3 linked regions of the Callithrix jacchus genome follow. The protein of the gene in region 3 interacts with the protein of the main gene of each other region in a biochemical or structural test. Links are inferred from orthologs where the notes say so. Each region holds a gene or a part of one and is shown on either strand. Other genes may lie near its edges. The genes, in order: NEDD4, RAP1A and RAPGEF2.

The links.
Region 1: the proteins of RAPGEF2 (region 3) and NEDD4 form a complex in vitro, tested with the Homo sapiens proteins (2 studies listed by BioGRID and IntAct). The link is inferred for Callithrix jacchus from reciprocal best matches to the Homo sapiens genes RAPGEF2 and NEDD4.
Region 2: the proteins of RAPGEF2 (region 3) and RAP1A form a complex in vitro, tested with the Homo sapiens proteins (2 studies listed by BioGRID and IntAct, with this or other methods). The link is inferred for Callithrix jacchus from reciprocal best matches to the Homo sapiens genes RAPGEF2 and RAP1A.

What each region holds. Positions count from the first base shown.
Region 1 is NC_133509.1:43,624,469-43,628,013, forward strand, and holds part of NEDD4 (E3 ubiquitin-protein ligase NEDD4), read right to left. Parts: intron 3,500-3,545; coding exon 3,441-3,499; intron 2,132-3,440; coding exon 2,066-2,131; intron 1-2,065. UniProt on the Homo sapiens protein: E3 ubiquitin-protein ligase which accepts ubiquitin from an E2 ubiquitin-conjugating enzyme in the form of a thioester and then directly transfers the ubiquitin to targeted substrates. Specifically ubiquitinates 'Lys-63' in target proteins.
Region 2 is NC_133508.1:149,582,548-149,586,793, reverse strand, and holds the start of RAP1A (ras-related protein Rap-1A), read right to left. Parts: upstream 2,843-4,246; 5' UTR 2,701-2,842; exon of another isoform or gene 2,287-2,700; intron 1-2,286. UniProt on the Homo sapiens protein: Counteracts the mitogenic function of Ras, at least partly because it can interact with Ras GAPs and RAF in a competitive manner. Together with ITGB1BP1, regulates KRIT1 localization to microtubules and membranes.
Region 3 is NC_133504.1:37,237,788-37,242,069, forward strand, and holds the start of RAPGEF2 (rap guanine nucleotide exchange factor 2), read right to left. Parts: upstream 2,801-4,282; 5' UTR 2,527-2,800; coding exon 2,458-2,526; intron 1-2,457. UniProt on the Homo sapiens protein: Functions as a guanine nucleotide exchange factor (GEF), which activates Rap and Ras family of small GTPases by exchanging bound GDP for free GTP in a cAMP-dependent manner.

The sequences.
Region 1 (3,545 bases), on a different chromosome or scaffold from region 3:
TTGAACTCGTGAGGTCCAGTAATCCTCCTGCCTCAGCCTCCCAAAGTGCTGGGATTACAGGCATGAGCCACTGCACCTGCTGTTTTTAATATTCTTTATCTCCATTTTGGTGCTACACTTTCTGACATTCTAAGTGTTCTTGATGTTCTGCTCTTTTGCTGTGATGTGTCTAGATACAGATTTTTAAAATCCTGCTTGGGCCCTTTTATTAATGTGAGAATTCATATTCACTTTCTCCTCCTCAGGATCTTGGTTCCCTCCTTCTGAAATGACTTCATGTCTTTGAACCTTTCTTTTGTATGTTTATCCCTTACAAACCTTTGTTGCATTCTGGGTTATTTCCACAAAAATGAACTTCTCTCTTAATGTTCTTAATCACTAATATGATATGTCATGTTGGTTAGGAACATGGGATCTGGGGCTAGACCACTTGGCTTTTCTACCTAACCATGGGACTTGATCACATTACCTATTCTCTCTGTGCCTCAGTTTCCTCATCTGTGAAATGTGATAGTACTCCCTTCCTTACAGAGTTATTGTAGAGATTAAATGAATGACATATATAAACTTCTAAGAATAATGCCTGGTATGCAGTGAGAGATAAATAAATATTACTGCTTTTTAAAGTTTTTTTTTTTTGTATGTTGTATTTCTGTATTTTGTAGCCTATAATGGGACTGCCTCCCATCTCCTGCTTCCTGGAAGACATTAACAATTAGATACTATAACATGTGTCAAGCACTCAGAGTGGCAAAAAATGGAGAAGCTAGTGCTTCTATTCCCCCAGCATATTTTCATTAAGAATGAAAATATTTACCAGAACAATAAATCAGCAAACATTTAAAATCCCAAAGTCTAGAAGCAGAAGAATTTCCAGGGAAATTTTTACTCAAAGTTATTCTTTCTTTTTCCTCTTTTTCGCGACAGGGTCTCACTCTGTCACCTAGGCTGGAGTGCAGTGAAGTGATCTCAGCTCACTGCAACTTCCACCTCCCGGGTTCAAGCGATTCTCCTGCCTCAGCCTCCTGAGTAGCTGGGATTACAAGCGTGCGCCACCACGCCCAGCTAATTTCTGTATTTTAGTAGAGATGGGGTTTCACCATGTTGGCCAGGTTGGTCTCAAACTCCTGACCTCAAGTGATCCACCCGCTTCAACCTCCTAAAGTGTTGGGATTACAGGCGTGAGTCACCACGCCTGGCGTAGAAAATTATTTTTAAAAACGAGTTTAGAAAGTTGATGCTATTTATGGATTTTAGTAAGGCATAAAATATTTAGTCTAAAAAACTACCATGTTTTATTTTTGTTAAAAATTTGAGGTAGCCAATCCACCATCTTGAATCTTTGTAAAAGCAGGCTTCTGGCTTAGAATGCAAGTAAGTATAACCCAATATGGCCACCTAGTGGTAGTATTCCTAAAGTGCAGGCAACGGAGGTCAGGATGAGCAAATGAAGAGAGGCAACAGACACCAACAGAAATGAAACAGATGGACAGATGATTAAGTTTAGTTCCAAACATGTTGCATTTGTGGCTGTCGGCAAAAGCGTAGTGAACATAATTGATAAGCATTAGGAGACAAGTCATAAGAGCACAGTCCCACTCATGATTGCAGTTTTAAAGTATGCAGAGAGATTACATTTTAAGCTGTAGAGAATGAATGACTATCGCTGGAAAAAAAAACCAAGTCATAAAAAATTCAGAGACCTCCAACACAGGAAAGACTAGCTTAGAAGATAATCACCTGAGCCACTCTTGCTGAGATTCTACAAAGATCAAGCCCCACAAACTCCACAAGGACACCCAGGTCAGAGCTCTGGAAAGCAAACTTTTAATGCCATTATTCTGTATTATAAAATGTCTTGAAAAATAGACATAAAGTAATTATGATCTGTAGTGATATATTACAGCCACTCAAAAAATGAGCATCCTTTTTCTATGAAAAAACTTTTCACTCAAAGTTGTTATAAATATAGAACAAATTCTTACTTAAAAAAATAAAAACATTTCCCTTTACTTTCCATCTACGTATTGATGACTCTTAAGTATTTTTTACAAACATCACTAACCTGCTTCTTCAACTTTCTTCGGAAGAACTCATACTTTCTTTTATAATCCCTGGAGTACGGCACTGCCTTCAGTTGAAAATTTTGGAAAAATAAAGAAGTTTAGGTTGTTTTTATTCTGGAACAATTTTTAAAGTTCCCTGCTGGGTATTTTATGAATATAAGTTAAGGGCATTAAAAGAAAAATATTGGGAAAGAAAAGTTTAATTAGAAGAAAAACAAATACAAAACTTCAAAATGTTTAATTTCTCTGTTTAAGGTAAAATTGTATTCAGCAGTTCCTATGACTGTAATTTTCATCATGCGATATTCTTAAAATGTAACATGCCAGAAACAGGAAATTTCTTCCAAGTAGAGAAATATAGAAACAAAAAATTTCCATTTCTAAAGAGACTTTCAAAGTGATTTCTCTATTAAAGGAAAAACGTGAGAAGTGTACTTTTTCCTTGAACTCTGGGGAGCTGCCTTTTTTAGCCCTTCTTTTAAAGGACTACATGTTGAGATAGTAAATAGTAATTAAAAAACTATATCTTATTTTTATGAATTAGGAAACATCTGAATAAAAATGGAAAAAGCAGCTATAAAGAATGATAAAAATTATCCTATCCATCTGACTCAAGAGTAGTACAATTATCATACACAGCAATAATTAAATGTGGATGTGTCTTTCATACAGGCATTTACAATTTTTTTTTTAGATAGAGTCTCACTCTGTCACCCAGGTTGGAGTGTGGTGGGGCAATCTCAGCTCACTGCAACCTCCGCCTCCTGGGTTCAAGTGATTCTCTGGTCTCAGCCTCTCAAGTAGCTGGGACTACAGGTGCCTGCCAACAAGCCCAGCAATTTTTTTTTTTTTTGCATTTTTAGTAGAGAGAAGGTTTCACCACATTGGCCAGGCTGGTCTCGAACTCCTGACCTCAGGTGACCCACCTGCTTTGGCCTCCCAAAATGCTGGGGTTACAGGCATGAGCTGGGCCCGATTTCTAACAAAAAGTTTAAGAATGACCCTAGAGTGGATAGGGTGCTGCTGCGTCCTCATCCAGATACACTCTCTGCTCCTCTCTGATTTGTGGAGGACTGTCATCATTTTTGTTCAGATAGCGGCAGGCACCAGACAGAGCTCAGCAGCCCACACTGCCTTACCATTCTGACTGTCTGGCTCACTTGTCTCCCGCAGTTACTGCACAGGGTAAGGGTAATGACGTTATAGAATCTTTTCAAATAACGGAGACTTGGAGTATGGGAAATAGGGGAGAGGAGAGAATGGCCAATGTGCTCTCCTCTCAATGCCTGTAGGATTATGCCCTTGACTATCTGCTCTTGAAGAGACAGGTGAGAGGACAGTCCCATCAGAGCACACTGGTACAAAGAGACTTACTGGTCCAGTTATTGCTACATTCTGCAACCGAGGATCTTCCCATTGTGTTCTTTTTATATCTGAAGGGTAGAAAAAGAAAAAAGATGCTCTTTCTCACATATAAAA
Region 2 (4,246 bases), on a different chromosome or scaffold from region 3:
GGTGGGCTGGGCCCGGCGTGGTGGCCCCCGCCTATAATCCCAGCACTTTGGGAGGCTGAGGCGGGTGGATCACCAGGTCAAGAGATCGAGACCATCCTGGTCAACAAGGTGAAACCCTGTCTCTACTAAAAATACAAAAATTAGCTGGGCATGATGGTGCACGCCTGTAGTCCCAGCTACTTGGGAGGCTGAGGCAGGAGAATTGCCTGAACCCAGGTGGAGGAGGTTGCGGTGAGCCGAGATCGCGCCATTGCACTCCAGTCTGGGTAACAACAGCGAAACTCCGTCTCAAAAAAGAAAAGAAAGAAAGAAATAGCTGGGCTGCTGTAAGTCTTGCATGCCATGGTAAGAACTTCGGATTTTTACTGTGAATGAGATGGGAAAACACTGGACAGTTGTGAAAACAAGAGAGACTTGCTCTGACTTAAATTTGTGAGCATCATTGTAGCTGCTGTGTGGAAATCAACTTGGGGTGGAGGGGCAAGAGTGGAAGCCGGAAGATCAATTAGGAGATTAATAATCTTCAATTCTAACCTTTTTCAGTGATTGCAAAATTGTGTATCTTCATGCTGTTGGACATATAGTTTCCTTTTCTTCCCATCTATTAAAGTAATTAAACGAACATGTGCATATACAACATTTTCTTTCTCTTGGAATCTTTCCTTGGGGATTTATTCCCAGAAGGACTACAGTACAGGATCAATGTATACGAATATACTTAACTTCTGGGGTATATTAAGTATAGATACTGTCCTTCCTGAGGCCATACAAAAAGTGAACAAAGACTTTTGAGCTGTTTTAATATGAATTGGGCAACACTCAGGGATTCCATCCAGTTCACTTTTAAGACAGATGGTCATGGTTGGCCTCAGAGGGTCCCTAACACTAATGCAAAATTTTGTGAATAAATGCCTATTAACTTTTTTCTGAGGAGAGAGTTTATATATTTCAACATATTCTCAAAGGTGTCAGTGGCCTAGAAAAGGTTAAGAATTACTATTTTACAAACTGGAAGTGGAATGCAATATCCTAATATAGGGTACCTCTCAAAAGGACGGAAGATTTAACACCTAGACTCATCTTGGTAATCATTCAATTCATTCAACAAATACTGAACATGTATGATCCGCAGTACCTTACAGCTGATCGTATCTGAAGTAGACCATAATTTAAACACCCAGGAAACTAGACAAGAGTCCCTGAAATATATACAAAAGAATATCAAACTATATAATTTCAAAACAAAAATGTTACAGGAACTAATAATAAAGACAGAAAGTCTGGGGCCTAATTTAATGCTTATTATGTCAAAGTATCACAGAAATAAATTACATCACAAGTAAAGAAAACTACACATAGGCATGTCCACCCCCACACATTCTGACAGGAAACCCAAAGAAAGTTTCCAAATCCTGTTTCCAGCAGCATCTCTTCTGAGACAGCCCTTCACACTTTTGAAGGTAGGAGCCCCAAGTTAAATCTAAGAGCTGATACTTTACGCTTACTGTAATAACAAAACCATCATCCACCACCTAAGAAGGAGAAAAGAGTGGCTACCTGCAGGGCTGTGGTCCAATCACCTTCTGCTCTATTATTCTATTTCACTTCCTATGCCTCCTACCTTCAAGGAAGGAACAAAATGATTTTCCCTCCCGAAACAGAATGCATTACTCCTCAACAGTAGTTCTTTTTCCAAGAGGTCAAAGGTTCCCTAAACTCTGGTTCTCAGCCCTGTGAGGAGATCCCATTTGGCAAGCACAAATGTCTTCCTCTCATCTTCTCCCCGTAGCAGTAAATTACACAATTCGGCTGAAGACACCGTCCTTAACTTCCTGAGTAAGAGGGGCAAGAGATGCTCTTACCAACGTTAGTTTGAAAGATTACAAGAATCACACTGTGACCTCTTCCCTAACAAAATTCAGGGAAGAAGCAGAGACTCATGAAAAGTAACATTGAAGAAGCGAACACATGGTAAGCTACGGAAGACCTGGGGGTAAAGAAGGCGGGAAAGGGGCTAGAAGGTGGAGTGGGATGTAGAGATGTCAGCCCTATTCACTGGGGGAATAAAGGAAGGAAAAGGAGACCCTGAACCCTGACAGAAGTGAACACGGACATAGCAACGCTCCAACCGGTCCGCACTTCTACAGCAGAGGACAGAGGACAGAGAATTCACCCAACCCTCCAACCCCCTCCCCGTGTGCCCCGCCAAAAGGGAGAGGTGGGTTGGAAAGGAAGCTCTGACCCTAGACAGGGGACATGCAAGAGAGGAAGGCAGCGACGTCCAACCTTCTAAGTCTCTCAGGCAGTGATGGGCGAGGGCACCAAGTCTGGGGAGACGGCAAGGGAAATGGGCTTGTGCTATGACACCTCGGGGAGTTGAAGGGTGGGGGACACAATGTCCTCTTTCTCTCCCACAGCCGGCCGGGGCCCCTCCCGACGATCTCCCGCAGGCCTACAGTCGACCGGGTCGGTCCGCGGGCGTGGTTGGCTCTGGCCCTGGCGGTGGCCGGGCCTCCCTGATCTCCGGCCCCTCCCGCCGGCCAGGCCCCCGGGCCGCCGCCCCGGACACCGATGGAACGCGGAGGAGGAAGGGGGAGCCAGGCGACTGACCGGCGACATGAGCCGCCTCACCATCGGCTCCGCCGACCCGCGCCCCCCGCTCCCTCTGGGACAGTCTAGGGCTCCCCGCCCCTCACTCACCCCCCTGGTCCGGCACCTCCTCCACCTCCTCCTCCTCCTCCTCCTCCTCCTCCTCCCTCCTCTCGCCCGTGGCTCCTGCTCCGGCTCTGCGCGGCGACGGCAGCAGCGGCCTCGGGAGCGGCGGCGGCGCCTCCTCCAGAACGCGCACGCACGCAGCACGCATCCCCGCCCCCTAATTCTGTCCCGCCCCTCCAAGTGAGCCGCGAATGGGCTTCGGCCCCGCCTTCCCCGCGGCGTTCCGGAGTCCGCTTAAAGGAGCCGCGCACTTTAAGCGGGGAGCGGGGAAGTCCTGGAACTACCGGGAAGGGGCGGGGAATTTTAGCTTTGCACACAGGCGGAATGGGAGGTGGGTAAGACCGGAAAAAAAATGAGGAAGGGTCCAAAGATTCAAGAAGAAAATTTGGAGGGAACGCAAGCATTCGACAAGAACTGAGCACCTGTTAGGTGCCAGGCGGTGTTCTAACTAAGCGCAAAGGGATCAAGCCATAGACAGGCAAAGACCCTCCTGCAGCATGCTTGCTAGTGGAGTGGGAGAGGGGATACAGACAACAAACAAGTGACAAAAACTGCAGGTAGTGATAACTGGTGTGGAGGAAAATAAACGGGAGATAGGGTGACTTTACACCTGGTCAGATACTGCGTCTCCAAGACCTTTGAGCCCATACACACGGTATGAAGGAGTAAGTCTTGCAGACACGGGGGCGGGGAGGACGAATAGCCTTTTCCAGGCTAAGAGAAAATCAGCCATAAACCCAGAGGTAGGGATATGCCTGCCATGTGCAGAAACAGTGAAAGGCCGGCGTGGCTGTGCAGCGTCAGCCAGCCCGAGAGCAGTACCAGCTAGGCTCAGAGAGGTGGGCCAGTGGCCAGATCCAGTGAAACCTGTGGGCCTTATAACAGGAACTGGAAACCATAGTAGGAGGGTGAGCTGAGGAATGACCGCATCTGATTCACATTTTTAAAAGTTAGTCTTGCTGATGTGTGTAAAATACACAATGGGGAAAGCACAGATGTCCTTGGGTTACCAGTACGGTAGCTTGGATTAAGTAGCCTGGCAGCCATGGACAGGATGAGAAGGCTATTTTATTGTATTTAGATACATTATAATTAGAATGGATTTGGATTTGGGGCATACTGTGTGAAAGAACAAAAGGAAATCAGAGTTGATTCTTATGTTCCCGCCAGATGACTGATTTAATGGTGGTGCCATTTAATGAAAAGGAGGCGCAGATTTGGGGATGGGGAAATCAAGAGACTTTTTTGCACATGTTATATTTAAGGTACCCGTTCGGCCGGGCGCGGTGGCTCAAGCCTGTAATCCCAGCACTTTGGGAGGCCGAGGCGGGTGGATCACGAGGTCAAGAGATCGAGACCATCCTGGTCAACATCGTGAAACCCCGTCTCTACTAAAAATACAAAAAATTAGCTGGGCACTGTGGCGCGTGCCTGTAATCCCAGCTACTCAGGAGGCTGAGGTAGGAGAATTGCCTGAACTCAGGAGGCAGAGGTTGCGGTGAGCCGAGATCGCGCCATTGCACTCCAGCCT
Region 3 (4,282 bases):
AAATGAATGAGGCTGGCAAGACTTTAAAAAATAAATAGAATTGAACAGCAGGAAAAATAAGTTACATATTTTCCAATTCTTTTCTTTTAAAGCACTTCCCTTTTGCCTATAAGGAGAATCACACAAACTCCTTTATCAAGCCTATCCTCAGAAACAGAAGGAAGCACAACAGCAAAACTTTCCTAATTCCTGTCCTTCTGTTCACGATATCAAGCTTATTTAACATTGCTTTTCTTATATTGTGAAATTCTAACTCACAAACATTTATAAGACAAGACTATGGAAATTTTTCCAGCATTCCATTCACAAAGCATTCTTAATATAAAAAGCACCTTCTACAAAAGCTTTTTTAAAAATAACTTCTGAGTACATTTTAAATTTTTAGACAATCACCTCTGGCCAGTCAAGCAAACTTTTGTAAACAAATAAACATGGGGGTTTGCTCTAGCAACAACCAAATGAACATCAAAGTCAATAGGGCTGACACTTAGGAATGTCTGAAATGTTTGGTAGGTTTCCTGATGTTTGGTTTTTCTAGGAAGATTTGGTGGGGCAAATGTGCCGCTTTCTGACTATCAATGGAGCTCTCATGTTGTGGGGTTAGTAATAGCTGGCCCACTTACTTCTGACTCAGGCAAGATTCTGTGTTGGGTCAGCTTTTACCCTATTCTACACAACTGGCAGGGGAACAATAAAGTTTAACAGTTCATTTATTTGGCACAGTCACCCTGCAGTCACAGTGGAGGTTTTGCCTCTTCTAGTCTTGTTTGGTGACCCACCCTCCCAACCTGATAGCAGGTTTTAGTCATTGTTATTCTTCTAACTAATCAACCAAATGCACAACTTCCCCCCTCTCTAATTTCCACCAAAGGCCTCTGACATCATTTTCGGACCAGCCTTGCTAGGTTCTAACATTCTCAGCATGCGTAATTTCACTTGGCACTTAATATTCTTGAAAGACAAGGAAATATTTCACTGAAATCTGCTTTTCCTTCACATTGAGACAAGGAATGTGCATTTTCAGATACAGAAGACTAATTCAACTGACAATTTTAAATAGATGAGAAAGACACAGGAGAGGCCGTGCGTGCAACACCAAGGGCAAGATCAAAGCAGGACATTCCTTGTTGGAATAAAAATAGTCTTTTAGAATGGGAACTTTCTGGAGACACTGAAACAAATTTTCTTGTAAAACTACCGCCATCTTCCACACGTTTGATAAACATGTGCAATCTATCCATGATCTCCCAGATGTGACAGCTCCATCAGGGAAAATGAAAAATCAAAAAATGGTACCAGGTGCCATTCTTGGGGCTTGTCCAAAGGCAGCCAGGGGAAGACTCTATTTTATTATGCTCTCCCCACACTAAATAATAATCAACATCAGAGAACGAGAGCATTTGGATTTGAACAGATGGCATCCAACACCTAACAAGGGAAGCAACACTTTCAAGCATTAGATCCTAAATGTTTTGATGGTCCCAAGAATCAGGAGGGCTTATTTGTCTTAAAAGGGTTGGCAGGCAGGATCTCCTGTAGTCACCATCCCAATGCTTAGGAACATGCGTCATCATCGGGTCAGCAACTAAAAGTAGAGAAAATTAAGCCACCATATTTTCATAAAATTTCGCCCACTCTAGTAAAACTTGAGACAACCAAATCCAACCCTATTGGCCGCTAAAAATAAGAAAAGAATAAGCCTGAAGGTAAACAAATGTATAAAGGTTAACAAACTTATCTAATTTTGACAGGGCTGTGCAACACCAAAAGAATCCGCAGGGTGCCCTTCCCGGGGGTGTATTTGAACATGCCTGCTCTGCAGCTAGGTCTGCAATTTAAAAGCACTAGCCTAGCTATTCAACTTTGCTTCCCTTCAATTGAAAGCAGCATCCTTCCAAAAAAAGAAAAGAAAAAAAATGCAAAATAGTAAACATACAAACACCTCAATGTTTTCCTTTAGAAAGTCAAAATGGATTTGTCTTTAGCACAACCGTACAAGTTTCCTACTGTACCTTTCAAACACTACGAAACTCCTAAGGTAGAAGGGCCACTTGCAAGGGGAGGAACGGACCTGCAGTCACGGGGGGCAAGAGTCGCTGGCCGAGGGGAGATGAGACCTCATCCCCTGAGATTCAGAGGCCCCCAAGGGCGGCCGGGGAGAGGGAAAGCTAGAGAATTCACACACACACACACTCACTCTGCTGGACAACATGGGGGGGGGGGTCAGTCATGGGAAGAGGAGCGTTGAGGAGAACGTCAAGGAGAGGGAAATCTAAAACCAGCATAAGGCGGAGTGAAAGACTCGGAGGTGGGATGCCTTTGGAATTGAGAGTCCTGATACTACTAGAAGTGGGGTGCTCGGGGCGAACTATGTCAGGAAGAGGGTGGGGGAACAGGAGCAGACGCAGCCTGCGAGGCAGAAATCCGGTCAAGTGCAGACGGCCCCGGCGTTCTCACCTGGGGGGTCCTCTCGGGGGGATTCTTCATTACCGCCTGGCGGAAGCTGTTATCCACGTAGGACGCCATCTCCCCCCTGCGGCTCGGGTCGTGCAGCTGGGCACCCTGGCCGGCCTCCTCCCGGCCCAGCGCCGCGGCTGCCTCCGCCCTGAGCGCTGCGCCCGCCCGCCCGCGGCTAATCAGCCAAACCGCGGCGGCGGCGGCGGCGCGGGGCCCGCGGGGGGGGCGGCTCGAATGGGCCCGGCGGCCCGGAGCGCAGTACAGGCGCGAGGGGCGCTGGGCGCAGCCGGGAGGGTCGCGGCGCGCGTAGGCTGCCGTACCCTGCGCCCAGCAGGCGGAACTCTCCTTCCTCCTCCTCTTCCTCGCCGCTCCGCAGGCTCCGTCCGGCCCTGGCTAGACACGCCTCCCTGGCTCCACTCGGGGGACAGTGGCAGCTCCTCCTGGCCCCAGCGGGCCCGAGTTATTTTTAGGGAGGTACGAGTGGCAGTGGGGAGGGCAGCGGGCAGGCAGAACCTCCTCCCCCTCGGCGCTGAGAGTCGCCCCCTCCTCTCAGAGGCTCGCGCCGCCACCCAGGGGTCTCCGGGAAGCACTCCGATCTCCCGCGTCCCCAGTCCTTGGGCGCTCAGGCGCCGCGGCCGCTGGTCGGGAGGACGGACCGGGTGGGTCTGGCACCGGTCTGGGCGCTGCGAAGCCCGATCACCTCGGCCGCCGTCGCCACCGCTCCTGGTCTCAGTCTACTGGGCTCGGCCGTCCCTCCTGACTGCTGCTGCATCCCCTCGGGCCGCCCTGCCGCCGCCGCCGCCGCTGCCTCTGCTGCTCGGGCCGCCGCTGTAGGCTCCGCCGCCGCTGCCGCCGCCTCCCCCCATCAGCGCTCCCGGAGCGGAGTTGCCCCGGCGCCGGCGCCGCCGCGGCCAGAGCACCCCGCCCGGGCTGCAGCCCTCCGGCCCAGTCGCTCTCGGCAACTTTGTTCCTCGTCTGTGCGGGACGCAGAAGGGGAAAGAGGGGGCCGCAGGCAGCCCAGTTTCGGGCGGCCGACGCCGAGAGCCGAGCGCAGCAGACAGCCCCCTCGGAGAGAGTGTTTGGGAAGCGGAGATTCCCCTCCTCTTCCTCCGCCTCTTCCTCCTCCTGCGCCTTCTCCGGTCGCCCCAGCCGCTCCTCAGGGAGGAAGCGGCCTCCGGGCCTTGTTGCTTTGTGCTGAAACCATGGTGAGGAGTGAGTGACAGCTCAGGGGCCAGTCGGCGGCCGCCGCATCATCGGGGGGCGGGCAGCTCCCTTGCGCTGGGTCCCGCCTCTCCGCTCCCAGCCCGCCCGCGGGCCGCGCCCTCGCGTGTGAGCCGCACTTTCGGCGGCGCCCAGGTGAGCAGCGCTCGGGCTGCAAGGGGGTCGCGGAGCCGTCGGCCGGGCTGGTGGGTCCCTCACGCGGCCTGAACCCTAGGATGGGGCGCAAGTCCCGGTGCCCCGGCGAGAAGCGCAGGGCTTTTCTCTCGCAGTGTTCCCCACTGTCTCACGCTGCGACCCCTCCCCACACCCGACGCTGGCTCCTAGGAGACCCAGCCGCGTCGGGTCGCCGCTCCCCGCCCGCTCCTGGCGCCAAGCCGCCGCCTGGGGGCTGAAAGCTAACCCCGGGCAGAAGACCGGCCCGCCAGCCCGAGCCATACGGGGCATTCTTTTTGAGTCCAGGAGTTGGCCCGGAGTTGCTTCTGTGGCGTTAAATCCTCTTAGGGTTTATTTTGCTTGTTTGTAATTTGCTGCACCCTCCCCTGCTTTCCAAGCCCACTTTGGCACCTCAGACATTAAAATGACCACGAAATTAGGGAGAGAGGTT